Mytilus edulis: one gene and its partner. The protein of the gene in region 1 interacts with the protein of each later gene in a pairwise test. Links are inferred from orthologs where the notes say so. Each region holds a gene or a part of one and is shown in the gene's direction. Other genes may lie near its edges.

The links.
Region 2: the proteins of MICOS complex subunit MIC60-like (region 1) and prefoldin subunit 1-like interact in a two-hybrid assay, tested with the Homo sapiens proteins (2 studies listed by BioGRID and IntAct). The link is inferred for Mytilus edulis from reciprocal best matches to the Homo sapiens genes IMMT and PFDN1.

What each region holds. Positions count from the first base shown.
Region 1 is NC_092347.1:95,493,994-95,500,826, reverse strand, and holds the start of MICOS complex subunit MIC60-like, read left to right. Parts: upstream 1-3,821; 5' UTR 3,822-3,920; coding exon 3,921-3,959; intron 3,960-6,116; coding exon 6,117-6,226; intron 6,227-6,833. UniProt on the Homo sapiens protein: Component of the MICOS complex, a large protein complex of the mitochondrial inner membrane that plays crucial roles in the maintenance of crista junctions, inner membrane architecture, and formation of contact sites to the outer membrane.
Region 2 is NC_092352.1:51,877,729-51,885,270, forward strand, and holds the start of prefoldin subunit 1-like, read left to right. Parts: upstream 1-4,524; 5' UTR 4,525-4,595; coding exon 4,596-4,640; intron 4,641-7,542. Other genes in the region: uncharacterized protein, read right to left, coding at 151-235. UniProt on the Homo sapiens protein: Binds specifically to cytosolic chaperonin (c-CPN) and transfers target proteins to it. Binds to nascent polypeptide chain and promotes folding in an environment in which there are many competing pathways for nonnative proteins.

The sequences.
Region 1 (6,833 bases):
GTTGCGGTCTCCTTGAACAGTCTCGTGATTCAACTTAAACTGATGTATTTTGGATTTAATGTTTGATCCTGACATTTGGATTTTGCGTACATATTGATGCAGATACATGAATTTGATAGACATTTCAGTTTGCAGACTTTAATTGATGAAATTTTTCGTTTGTCTTAGGGGGGAGGAATGTAGCAGACAGAGTTATTAGTTAATTTTTAGCTCCCTTTGGTAAAACTCTAAATTTCATATTTGATGTATTTCATTGTTAATTAATTTACATGAAGCTTATTGAGGATATATTTGTTAAATTACATAGCTTTTGCTATTTTAATTCATTGGTTAAAGATATTTATTTATATTGTAAAGTTTAATATTTGCATCGTTGCAAATTCTTTGGTTACCTTCTGTGAGAAATTTATATATTTTATATAAGTACTTTTAGATTCTTATTTTGAATCCTCTGAGGACTGACATTCAGTCCTACCAAGGAAAGCCAGGCTTTCCAACCAGAGTTTAGGTTAGTGCATCTGCTACATGCCTCCTTAGTATGATAATGTGAAATCATAATGAATGCTCCATTTCTACACTTTTGGCTTTACATAATAAAAGTTGTACTTTGTTGATTAAATTATATATTGTTTTCAGTTTTTGGTTTTCATTTACTTAGATATATTATAGCGCATCACTTTTGGCATCAGTCGTTTTCCGCACACATCAGTTTACAAACTAGAATTAGCTGTGGTCCGCATCCCCGAATCTTAGGCAGAATTGTTCCTGCTACACTTTACAACTATTTACACCACTGGGTCTATGCCACTGCTCAGAGGCGGATCCAGGGGGTGGTCACCCGGTGCCGGTGACCACCCCCTGGGTTTGCAAAAATGGTGCACCATGTACCAAAAAGTGGTGCACCTTGAACATTTTGAAAAATAAATTCGTCGATCAAATCAATTTGTCTATCGTAATCACCAGTCATAAAGTTGTCATTACTTACCTTAAGGCTAAATACATGTACTTTGACAGGTATGTTTATACAATGAACATGTAATCAACAATCGCTAATTATTTGATCGATTTCTTTGATGTTAATTAAGGTGTAAAAATGAAGAGACAGTCCTCAATCTTAGATGTTTTTAGCAGATAATTTATACTTTTTTACATTACGTTTATCTAAATTTTTAAAGTTTGTATAATAACTTTTCTCGACCAATAATATTTTTTTACTGTGATGCCAAAATTCAAAAATAATTTTAAAGTTTTAAAGTCACATAAATATTTTTGCGCCTGTCCCAAGTCAGGAGCCTCTGGCCTTTGTTAGTCTTGTATTATTTTAATTTTAGTTTCTTGTGTACAATTTGGAAATTAGTATGGCGTCCATTATCACTGAACTAGTATATATTTGTTTAGGGGCCAGTTGAAGGACGCCTCCGGGTGCGGGAATTTCTCGCTACATTGAAGACCTGTTGGTGACCTTCTGCTGTTGTTTTTTTCTATGGTCGGGTTGTTGTCTCTTTGGCACATTCCCCATTTCCATTCTCAATTTTATTTTTTATATATTGAATGAATACCCCCGTTCCATCATCTGTTTGTCTAAAAGTTTCGTTCATTCAAATTTTTTAGTAACTTATACCCTCTTTCCTTCAGGAAACGCCACAAATCAGCCCCTCTGAAGTACCAACGACTTGTAATGGACCTAGCATTGATACGAATAAGAGTGATCAGATTAAAGAAACAACCCCCGACTTACATACATGTATAAGTTCAGTGAGTGCTGGTGGACGTTTCGTCCCCGAGGGTATCACCAGCCCAGTAGTAAGCACTTAGGTGTTGACAAGAATATCAATTATATGGTCATTTTTATAAATTTCGTGTTTACGCGTATGGCTTATCATAAGCCTGGTACCTTTGATAACTCTTTGTCCTTCATATAAATGGGGATATATACGATGCTACATCAAAAGTAGTGTGTAGATAGTGTTGTTGCACTTTTATATTTTAGATTTCAAAATTACATATAAGTAAGTAAGTAAGTAAGTAAGTAACTATAAATAAGAGTATATAGAAGAACCAGGCCTGTCCTTGATCAAAACGTAAACTTCGTTAAGTTTGTTTTATTTCATAATGCTGATATATACTAAGAAAAGAACAATCATGCTCCTCAGATGAATGGTCGGTGCTCTGCTGGAATTTATCAGTTTTAAAAACCTGAGACACATTTTTGAATCATGTGATACAACAAACATATCATTTAGTAAAACTGACGACGCTAATCATATAAGGGAGCAACCGTTTAACTTTAAAGGGGGTATGGTTTTTTGTCTGAGTCAGAAATATTTCCAAAACCTATCGATCATTTTTTTTTCAATATTTAACACCATAAGGTATAGCCGGGAAACTTGGAATAGAATGAAATTCAAAACAGTGTAGCTGTGGCCATTGATTGACACATTAAAATCATCCATTGACTGGGACAATTTACGTGAACGTTTGTCTGTAACGACCACTGTTCACGACGTACCTACGATAGACATTTAAACTGTGGGGTCACCAAAGGTTTCTTAACGCCTTTAATTATAAAATAATTCGAAAAATTAATCAGGAATAACCTTTGTGTTTTGATTTATATAATTGATAGAAATCAAAATATCGTGTTATTTCTGATTAATTTTTCGAATTACTTTATTTAGGTGTTGAGAACCTTTGGTGACCCCATAGTTTAAGTGTCTTTAAAAAGTACATAGTGAGCATTGGTCGTTACATACAAACGTTCACCTAAATTGTCCCAGTCAATGGATGATTTTAATGTGTCAATCAATGGCCACAGCTACACTGTTTTGAATTTCATTCTATTTTGTTTGTCATCTGCTTGACCAGAATACTTTTTTCGTCAAATTGTGGATCAGAGTAATCAGTGGGGAAAATATAACACACCATCGAAGTTAATTGACTAGTCTCCTGTCCAATAAGAAGGCACTCGGGCTAAAGTTACATGGAATTGATGTAACAATAATAATGATTTAATGTAACAACAACGCAATTTAATCGTAGGCATAATTATTATTGTTACATTCGTAATTAATCAGTTCCTTGCCCAACCCTGCATTCCGACAATAAGTCCCCAATGTAACATTTTTTTTTATTATTGTAAAATTTCAATATAATCGTAGCCAGCTGTGCCTAATAAAAACAGTTTTATTTTCTTTAGTATTCTTTCTAAAATTGTCAGTTATAAACAGACAGACTGAAATGATTTTACCAGCTCTTTTTGAAATTCTTCTTTGTCATCTCACTTTTCTAATAAACTTCACTTCAATATGTATTTGCAGAGACATATATGTCTCTGATATTTGAAAATGACAAAAGTATGACTATTAAATATGACAACCATAAAGTTTCCATATATTAATTAGACTGTGGCGTGGCACTTGATGATTTTCTTCTCTCAGTCAAAACTGACGTGTTGTCTCATGGCCTATAAAATTGAGAATGGAAATGGGGAATGTGTCAAAGAGACAGCAACCCGACCATAGAACAAACAACAGTAGAAGGTCACCAACAGGTCTATAATGCAGCGAGAAATTCTCACACACGCAGGCGTCCTATATATATATACACATTGGGAAAAAGATCTTTTAAGTAATATTACGTTGGTAAACAGAAAAATAAGATATAATACATTGATTCATTAGTTTAATTAAGCTTTGGGTTTATTTCTGTGTTTTTTTCCCTTCATTTGTTGATACTGGTATCAGTATGAAACTGTACATTATGGTGCTTTACAATCAAATTTTTTTGTTTGGGTTTAAGTTTTATCTGTTACTATTCAGATTCGGCACAAACTTACAATGTAAATCATCTGCTGAGTACAAAAGTCGTTGATGAAGGTTACCGGAAGTCAAATTGAAGAGCCGGTGTCCTACTGATTAGCAATGTGGAGGACAACATCTAGAGTGCCCCCCAAAATCAAGGTTAGTAAGTGAACTGAGGATGCCAAATATCTTCTTTTCTAAGGATTCCCTTTTCAGCTGATTAAAATCAGTACTGGACAACATGTCATGCCAAATTATCTGTCATTAAAGTCTTAACTTAAGTGCCATGGTGCCATTGGACACTTCTATGCTATGGGATACCTAAATAATGAAGAGGGTCTCATTGGGGGGGTTCCGATCCCGGATATTGCTTACTGTTTTGTCAGATTCCCGTATCCCGCTTACACTATGTACGCATTCAATTCTCATTTTTTGTAATTTCCTGTGTCCCGCTAGACTTCATCTCCCGTTTTCATGGCACAATAAATTGACTTTCACGTGTCACGTTTACAAACAATCGGCTATCCGGCATCACACTTAGACCCCAATGAGACCCACAAAGAATGAACACACAGTCTCACTGTAACAAATTCTCAGTTTGTATATTGACTTTTCCCCTGTGTTCATTGGTTTAATTACCAGTATCCTACCTAGTCTATAGTCGATCCTACCTAGTTGATTGTCGGTCATTTTGTTGGTTCGTTCAGACTTTGTTATTGTAATTATCACATGGGAAAACCAAGCAATCATGTCACTATGTCCCACTAGCGGCAGCGTAAAAAAATAGTGCAGAAGAGGTTTTTTCTACTCTTCTAAATATAAAAACATTTCTTAAGATACGTTTTCACTGTTATTCTTAATTATTGCTAAAAATGCCAATTTTCTTAATGCTGTTTCAAACCTGACTTCCAAATGCCTTAAAACATTTCAGAACTTCAAAAAATCCCACTTACGGGCTCCATCGCTTTTGTGTACATTCCATTCAGCTTCATCAATCTTAGTGGCAGACAAAACAGGCCAAGGAAATGGTATTTTTAAGAAATTCAAAATGACAGGCACCTTACGTCTTACACAATTTTAACTCTAAAAAAACCAATCCAAAATGAAAGGAAAACTTAGGGAAAAAATATGTTCATGCCATAATTTTGTTCAGGAATATAGAGTAGGTTATTAAAAAACAATATGTATATACATATATTTTTCATAAAAAAAAAATCAATCAATATATAAAGATCAATATACTGACCATCATGACCATAGGTAAATATTCATATAAAATTCCATTGATGTCAAAATTCATGGCTAAAAATGTTTTTTTTTATTGAATAAACCCCCCAATTTATTGCAAACTATTTCAAAGCAATATCACTCCAACAAATAATATAATTGCCTCAGTCTTTAAAAAAATCACCTAATTGATAATAAACCATTTGATTGGGTAGAATGAATTCAATGCATCACAAGGTTTTGACACCATTGGTATTTGAATGTAAACAAACAGGCCCTTTACAGGGTCAGCATCTTTAGTATGGCATACATAGTACATTCAGTGACTGAGAAAAATTGATGAGTAACCCTGCTTGTCAATACATTTGTACATGGTAATAATAAAACAAAGCTCAGTCTACAGGGAAAAAAAAAGAAAAAATGTGCCTAGATGAACGACTTATCACCATTTCAGGATATAATCTGAATAATCAGTCATCATGTTGGTAAGGACTTAGTAATTGTACTTATCACACCGAAAAATTCTGCATTCTAAGCTAATACCAGCATACAAAATTAGTGCAGAATATGTTTTTTAATATCTTCTAATATAAAAAAAAGAAGATGTGGTATGATTGCCAATGAGACAACTATCCACAAAAGACCAAAATGACACAGACATTAACAACTATAGGTCACTGTACGGCCTTCAACAATGAGCAAAGCCCATACCGCATAAACATGCCGAATAAAACAACCATTCTTTAGATACGTTTTCATTGTTATCATGGTTATTCTTAAGCATATTAAGAATTATACAGAAATGCAGATTTTCTAATGGCCATTTCAAACCTGACTTCAAATGCCTATAAACATTTTAGAAATTCAGAAAATCCCTCTTCCATGTCTGTAGCCTCCAGCTTTGTAAACATTCCATTAAGTGTCAATCAATCTTAATGGCAGACCAAACAGACCAAGCAAATTGTATTTTTAAGAATTTCAAAATGACAAGCACCGTCTTTACATGATTTTCCTGCTTGTAACATTTTAATCTGGATAACATTTTAAGACATATGAAAAAGATTTATTTCATTCTTTGTTTTGTTATAGATTCATGGAAGAAGATCTACAAGTACAAAGCCGCCAGTGGTTCCTCAGCCTCCTCTATCAACACCATTTGAAGCTAACCAACAACAACAACCACCGCCACCACCACCAAAGTATAATTTGTCTATCAGCAGGATAATACCTGTAAAACAAACTCATCTACAAATATCTTTTATAAAAATATTAAGTGTTGCTGTCCACATGGATAGATATAGTTGAAATTGATTGCCTATTTAAAAAACTATTTTACTTCAAACTTTAATAAAAGATAAATATTGAATTTACTAGACATGTTTTTATACAAGTAGCGATTAAACTACATGTTTACTCAACCAAGTGTAATTTGCATATATATGTAGGACTCTAAAGTGCGATGGGGACGCTAAAGTAGGATGGTCACGCTAAAGTGCGATGGTCTATGCTAAAGTACGATGCTTCCATACGCTAAAGTGCGATGGTCCGGGAAAATATAGACGTACAAAACGTAGTCGGATTATGACGTTAACAGTCGTTTATACAAACTAAAAATGAACATGACGGAAGATGAAATAAATAATGGAAGCGAACAGATGCATATTAATGTTTTCGTTTATACAAATCCTTGGTTTACGTTAAAATATTGTCGATTTTATTGCAGAGTATAAACGTCGGTAAAATAAAGGTACACGTTTGCAAGCGTAAATCATAACTTGTCCATTAAAACTTCAGTGTGTACATTGT
Region 2 (7,542 bases), on another chromosome or scaffold:
GAATCCCTCGAGAAAATGTGTGTTCTTCCTCATATGTCAATCAAGAATTTTCAAATGGAAGTCTTCTCATCCAATATTATGATAATGTTTAAAACTTGAAATAAAAATATAAAACAAATACAATACAAAAAAAACAAACAATATACGTACTGAAATCCTGTGCTACAGACTTTCTACTTTCAATGAGGCAAAGAAGGACCATGCATAAACCTACAAATGTAATCATATTCGACATGAATCTTTTAGTCCTACACTAGAATGTATATATTTTTAAAAGGAAGTTATAAAAACACTAATGAAAACATGACAATCAGTTAAGTCATGGGTCGATAACACTTAGATACATTTTTATGAGGTATAATAATCAAATACGATATGATAGAGTAATAAATATAATCATATCTATAAGATCGGCTAAACTTAAATATGTATACAAACTTTCAAAGAATGGGAGAATGTGATATTTGTCGAGCTTTAAAAGCAGGAAGAAATGTGAGGCTTGTCGAGCTTTAAAAGCAGGAAAAATGTAAGGCTTGTCCAGCGTCAAAAAAAGAAGAAAAGTGAGGATTGCCTAGCTTGAAACGCAGGAAGAAAATTGAGGCTTGTCAAGCTTTAAAACAAGGATGTATTGTGAGGTTTATGGTGGCACGGTAGTATTTGCATTCCAGAATTTAGGTTGCTCTTTTGTGTACCCGGCAACAGAGTCGACGCGGGGCCACTAAGCTAATCTGCCCGCTTTGCACCAGCCGTACTTTGAAAAAAAGCCTAGGGTGGGAATCGAACCCACGTACGCCAACTCCGTTGTCCTCCTTCCGTGTGTCTCTTAATGCATAAGAAATACAACCAATCAACAACAAAAAAAAGTCTCCGGCCTACTTAGGTAAATGTATCTAAACAGTGTGATTGGACAAATACAGTATCAACTGAACATACTTTCCCAAACTGAGGGATGAATCAGGTGTAGAAAAATATGAAATAATTTTACATACAGATGAAAATGAATTTTTGAGAATTTTTTTTAATTTTGTATTCACTGCACCATAAAATACCTAAAAGTACTAGTGGCCTTAGGTTTTTTAAAATAGCAAAAAAAGTAAACGGTCATGATACATTTTCAAATTCATTTCTGAATAGTAAAATGAAAGTACTTCAGTTAACTGTGAATGTAGAATTTTTTGCAGTGTTAGAAAGTGGTGAAAATTCTAAAAAGGCTATCATTATCCCTTATGGGCCAGGAAATACTACCGTGCCACCTTATCGAGCTTTAAAAGCAGGCAAAAATGTGAGGATTGTCGAGCTTTCGTTAAAATCTATTACGTTGTCACATACCGTGATGAGCGAATCGAACATATTGAGAAATATTAACACTATAAAATGGTGACAACGGAACGTCATCTTCTAAAAATGGATATTTCATCTCTTTTATCATAATCTTTGGTTTTATAAGATTCCCGTTAATGTTAATTTATAGAAATCAAGATCCAGGAAAGGGCAGTGCTCATTGGTACTACCGTAGTATTCGATTTATTTAAAGTTAGTCAATAGGATTAATATCTTTAGTGTATACATGTATACTGAAGTCGTCATTATTGAGAGCCAATATTATTTGTGTTTTTAATTATGTTTATTGTATTGTTTATTATATTTGTAAAATTCTTCTTCTTCTTTTTCTTCTTGTATCATAAATTATGTTGTTTTGTAGGGTCTTTGCTGATTTGAATCCATGAATTCTAACTCATAACAATACAGAAACACGTACGCAATAAGTGGTGCACAATAAGTCCCCATTGCAATGTCGATAACTTGACGAGATACAGAATCTCCATATTTATGTAATTGTTAATGTACAATTGTTATCCTCTTGTAGCACCATACGTGTGCCTAAGTTGAAATAAATTGTCTTGTCTTGCCTTGTCTTGTCTAAAGCGAACACAAATTTTATCTAGTAAAAATTCAAGGGCAGTTATAGTATCAAAGCCTGTCCAAATCGCATAGTCCTTTTGTTTATTGTTACTAAATTTTTATTTAATGTGTTTACTTAGAAATGTGTTTAGATATAAACACGATTATTTTTTTCAGGGAAGTCATATAGATGATCTCTGGAAAATAAAACTTACTTTAAGTAAAGAAAAAGAAAAACGATTTCTAGTTCACAACTTAAAACTTATGATCTTACATTCCACATTTTTACCTATCAAATGCAGATCTCGATAAATTGCAACATGCAACTAAAAATACATTAAATATATAGATTGTCAAGATATAAAAGTTAGGCATGCTGTTTGCGCATGTTGCGGTGGTGTCAGCGGCTTCAACTTGTTTTTCTTTTTTAATTTGTGATAAAGTAAGTTTTCTTTTTAAATGAAGACCAATAGCGATAAGCAAAGTGATATATTATTATAGTATGTTTTTGTATCAGCATTGGCATATTTTTATGGATATATTAAAGTTTCGCCCCCTGAACGATAGTTCATTGACTGCAAAAGTTTTGCATCGCATACCGCTGTAATACCACCAAATCATAGTACATCCGGTTGCATTCGAAAAAGGGTAGAAAAACATATTCCCTTGAATTTGACAGTTGAAGGTAATTCAACCTATATTTCATTGCAGTAAATAGTAAATGTCTGGGTCATCAACATATATTTTTGGTATTTCAAAGCACCATTATTTTTTTTATTGAGGTTTCTATAGAATATTTTGGAAAAGATTACGGTAATTTTTATTGGTTAAAACCATATAGGCAGGCATACGGCCTTCAACAATGAGCCCTTTTTACTTGGATGTCTTTCGACAATATTAATCAATATATGATGTTTGAACCGAATTAAAATTGCTATTTTGTTAATAAAAAAAATATTTTTAACTTTTGTCTTTAAACAGCTACTATAGGCCGTATGATTGCCTATAATTTCTTAAATTCACTTTATTTGCATTTTGATGGATAATTGTCTCATTTGGCAATCAGACTGCATCTCCTTATCTTCATATTGGACACGTTAAGCTGGTTCATAGCTATTGTCAGAGCATATATATGCCACAAAAGTGTAACCTACACTAATCTATAGCTAATCAGTAGACCAGTTGGTACTGTATTACCTAATTTTAAAAAGACCATATGGACATCAACTAGTCTAACGTTGGAGTATTGAAGAAAACAATTCACATTCATTGTTTCATGAATGTTATGTGCAAATGGGAACTTTTTATACGATATACTAAAAGGCATGGACATGCTGTTTTCATTGACACTGGTAATTTCATTTATACTTTAGTTTATGATATAAACACTATAAAGATGATTTTTAGATCATTTACCAACTGAAATAAATAAAGAGTTTCTACAAGTTTTAGCTTATATCTGGGAACAGCGGTATATCTGTTCCTGCTAATACGGATCTACTATAATAATTTATTACAATAAGAACAGTTACATTTAGTAGTGACATCTTAAGTGTATCTGTTATTCGAATCCGGGTCTGTTCGCGCCCATTCACGTTCGCACCCACTCATGTTCGCCCCCTTTCACTTTCGCACCCTACATGTTCGCACCCAAAGTCCGTTCGCACCCTACATGTTCGCGCCCAATTTTAATTGGTTTTGAGTTTAATAACTTTGTAATCATGTTTTGGCAAGTAGTATTCTTATAAGTATAATTGTTTTCGTTGTCTCAAAATAAAGTGAGACAGCATTTTTTTTTGGTGTTGAATAAATCTTAATCATGTTTTGGATAGTGTATGGTTAAAAAATAAAAAATATTCTTTTCTAAATAAAGTGGGATTCTGTCAACGTTTTATTTTGTGTTGAATAACTCTTAATCATTTTTTGGTTAGCGTATTAATTGCTATAACTTTGTTTCATTAACTTGTTTCAAAATGAAGTGAGATTCTGACTACGTTTTTTTTTTTTGTGTGTTGAATAAATTTTATCATGTTTTGGTTATAATAGTGTATTGTTATATTTTATTGTTTCATTGTTTCAGATCAAAGGGACCAAGCTGTTAAAAACAATTATCTTTTGTGTTTTTCATTTAAAATGATCTAAAATATTCAAATTTTTACTCAAAATGATCTAAAATATTCAAATTTTTACTCATACCAAGCTATAAATACATTCAGTATTTACACGAAAGCAATTAAAAACAATAATCATGATTTTCCAATTATTCAACTGGTATTTGAATTAAAATTGGGCGCGAACGTGTAGAGTGCGAACGGACCTTGGGTGCGAACGTGCGATGTGCGAACGTGTAGGGTGCGAAAGTATATTGGGCGCGAACGGACCTGATACCCTGTTATTCTAACCTTTTAAGGGATCATATGGCGTGGTTTGGGGGATGATCCCACGGTGTTTTTTTTTTTAATTCGTTACAACAAGGATTTGTATATTACTATACACTGAAATCCTTGGTTACAAGTGTTGAACTATTTTAACCATTTCGTTGCAGTGCGTTGTTGTAATGAATTGTTTAGGGTAGTAAGACTTACTTTCTATGGTTCGAGATCTTTCGAATATTGCAGTTAGTCATGCGTTTGTAATACACTTTATATTGATAACAAAACCATGCGTTCTTTACACATTGATCAAATAACAGAATGGCAGCAAAAGCAGGAATGCCCGTTGACATGGAGCTTAAAAAGGTTTTTAAAGAACTCTTTTAGTTATTCTAGATTGCTGTCACATAGTTTAAGAATAGATGTTTTTTCTTTTCAAAACTTTAAGATTATAGACAGAGCTGTTTTCGGTTATGTATCCAGGTGTAATGATAAGTCGTTATACTAAGGCTATTTTTTTCTTATTTTTTCTGTAGACTTAGCTTTATTTTTTTATAACCATGCATTGGCAAGCTTGATAACTCGTAATTGTTTGTCAGTAAATAAATGTACAATGATGTCCCATACGGAACCTTCTGACCTTGTTTGTTTACATTAAAATTTCAATAGCGTCAAAATCACGTGATGTCAATTCGTTATATCCAATCAAATTGCTCTACTGTCAATTAGCGGATTTTTCAGTCTACGGCAAATTACGTTATTTCTTTCTGGGATATTGCTTCAAAATAGTTTGCAATAGTTCTGGGTTTTATTCAACAGGAAAACTCTTTTTTTTGCCATCTCTTTTGACATCAAGGGAATTTTGTATGAATATTTACCTACAGTCATGATGGTCAGAATATCTATCTTTTGATAATGAATAAAAAGAAAATTCTATGAAAAATAAATGTAAATTGTTTCTTATTAACCAACTCTATATGCCTGTTCAAAATTATGGCATTGACATCGTTTTTTCATATAGTTTTCCTTTCATTTTGGTTGGGCTTTTTTCGCGGGAAAATCGAGAAAGAGGTAAGGAGCATGTCATTTTTAAAATCCTAAAAATACGATTTGCTTGACCTGTATTGCCTGCCACAGGATTGATGACGCTGAATGGAATGTACACAAAGCAATGGAGGCCGGAAATGGGATTTTGTGAAGTTCTAGAATGTTTTTAAATATTCGGAAGTTGGGATTGAAACGGGCATTAGAAAATTGGCATTTTTTGGCAATAATTGAAAACAACAATGAAAACTTACCTTTAAAAATGTTTTTTTATTCAAAAGTGCAGAAAAAAACGTATTTTGCACTGTTTTTCTACGCCAGAAGTACCGTAGTGACATCATTGCGGAGTTTCCCTGTGTGTTAAGTTCAAACACAAATACCTAACGAACTGACAAGATGAACGATTTTAGACTACGGTAGGATAATCTTCACATAGTTTAAGGTTCATCATAACAAACGAACAAATATGGCTGTATTTACATGCCAAAAATTACTCTGAGTACAGACTTACCTGTGAAGTTGGAAAAGTTTGCCTGGCATCCACTAGATATAAAAAAAGTTAAATGCATTTTGTGTTTCAGAAAGATAAAATCTCTTGGATTTTGATGGGCATTTTTTTTCCTTCATGCAAAAGGTGTGAAAATCAACTAAGTTGTGGTATAACTATGAGATGCTTCCTCAGGTAAAATAACCGGTTTGTATTGTTTTGATTGTCATTAATTGACATGGACAAGAGGTATCCAGAGGCGGATTTAGGGGGGGGGGGGGGGCAGGGGGCACAGGCCCCTACTTTTGAGAAAAAAATTTGGTTGATTATATAGGGAATCACTGAAGCGTGACGGGAGCGGGCCCCCTCTTAGGCAGCCAGCGGGCCCCCACTTATGAAAATTTCTAGATCCGCCACTGGTATCTTCATAACTTTAGGTGAGTTAAAGAGTTTATCTGAGTCAGTGAGTGGACAGTATCAAAGTAAGGCCAAAATAATTTAATAGTGTGTGTCCGGTTTCCCGACCCTACCTCCGTTTTTGATGCTGACCCTAAACTTTTTATTGACAAAAACAATTTTTTTTATTAAAAATCCGGATTATTCGGTCTGTCTGGATCCTACTTTTCATTTAGAAAACTACAGATCTTCAAAATGTTTGATAGCTTGGACCAATATGGACAAGTAAAGCGTTTCAAGAACCAAGATTTTAAATAAACAAGCATGGCTTTTCCGTAAACCGTGCTGCGTATTAGCTGTCAAATATGCGAAATGTGATCACATGGTTACAAAATATAATGATATTAATTCCGGATAATTACGATATGATGAATCTTTTTGAAGAACACCATGATGGACCTATAGACGAAAAAAATACGAAGTTGGCGCATTTTGCTCAACTTCTTTGCACAGGTACAAGACGACCAACAGTCAGAATCGTTTCAGGATGGACAGACTGTATCTAATTCTACCGGTTATTAAATTGACAAATAATTTATTAAAGAGTAAAATGAGATCAATTTACTGCTAAAGTCAATCCAGCTTTTGTTGTAAAAAATTGTTCTCAGGACGCAACATAAACGGATGTTAATACTTTTGAGCATTTGACTGTTTGAGTTAATGACGGCAAGGGGGCAGACAATGTGTAACGAAAAATAGAAAGCTTTCCCCAGTAGGCAGACATGGTGTATGATTCATGTTCTGACATTTATAAATGAATCTGCCCCGGCACCATGTCTACTTTTATTCTTTAATATTTCTCTGGCTGGTCCCACAACAGTTTATACTAGAGAAGGAAAAAAAATCATGTCCTATTAATCTACAATTTTTTCCATAGATTTAATAAGGCAAATATTTCGCATTCTCACTCTTCTCAAAATTTTGAATTTTAATATTGTCAGAACCCCACTCTGCAAGATTAAATTCTGTTAAACATCAAAACACATCTATATAGAGAGGTTGCAAGGGTATTACCCCTCGAAAAATCATTAAACCGCTGCTTAGCATCAATTTGCAGTGTTTTTACAACTTTAAAAGAGGGGTAGGAATCTGTTCCCACGTGTATACCCTGTGTGTCATTTACATTGTTAGCTTCAACGAGGCCAAACATACACAGCTCGGGTGGATTTTGCTTTTTCCACCGGCCCACGTGGACAGCCCACCCGTGCCCACTCCAGCTATAATCTCATTTTTAGTAAAAATATTGATTACAAATGCTTATCTGCTTTTTTTCAATTGATT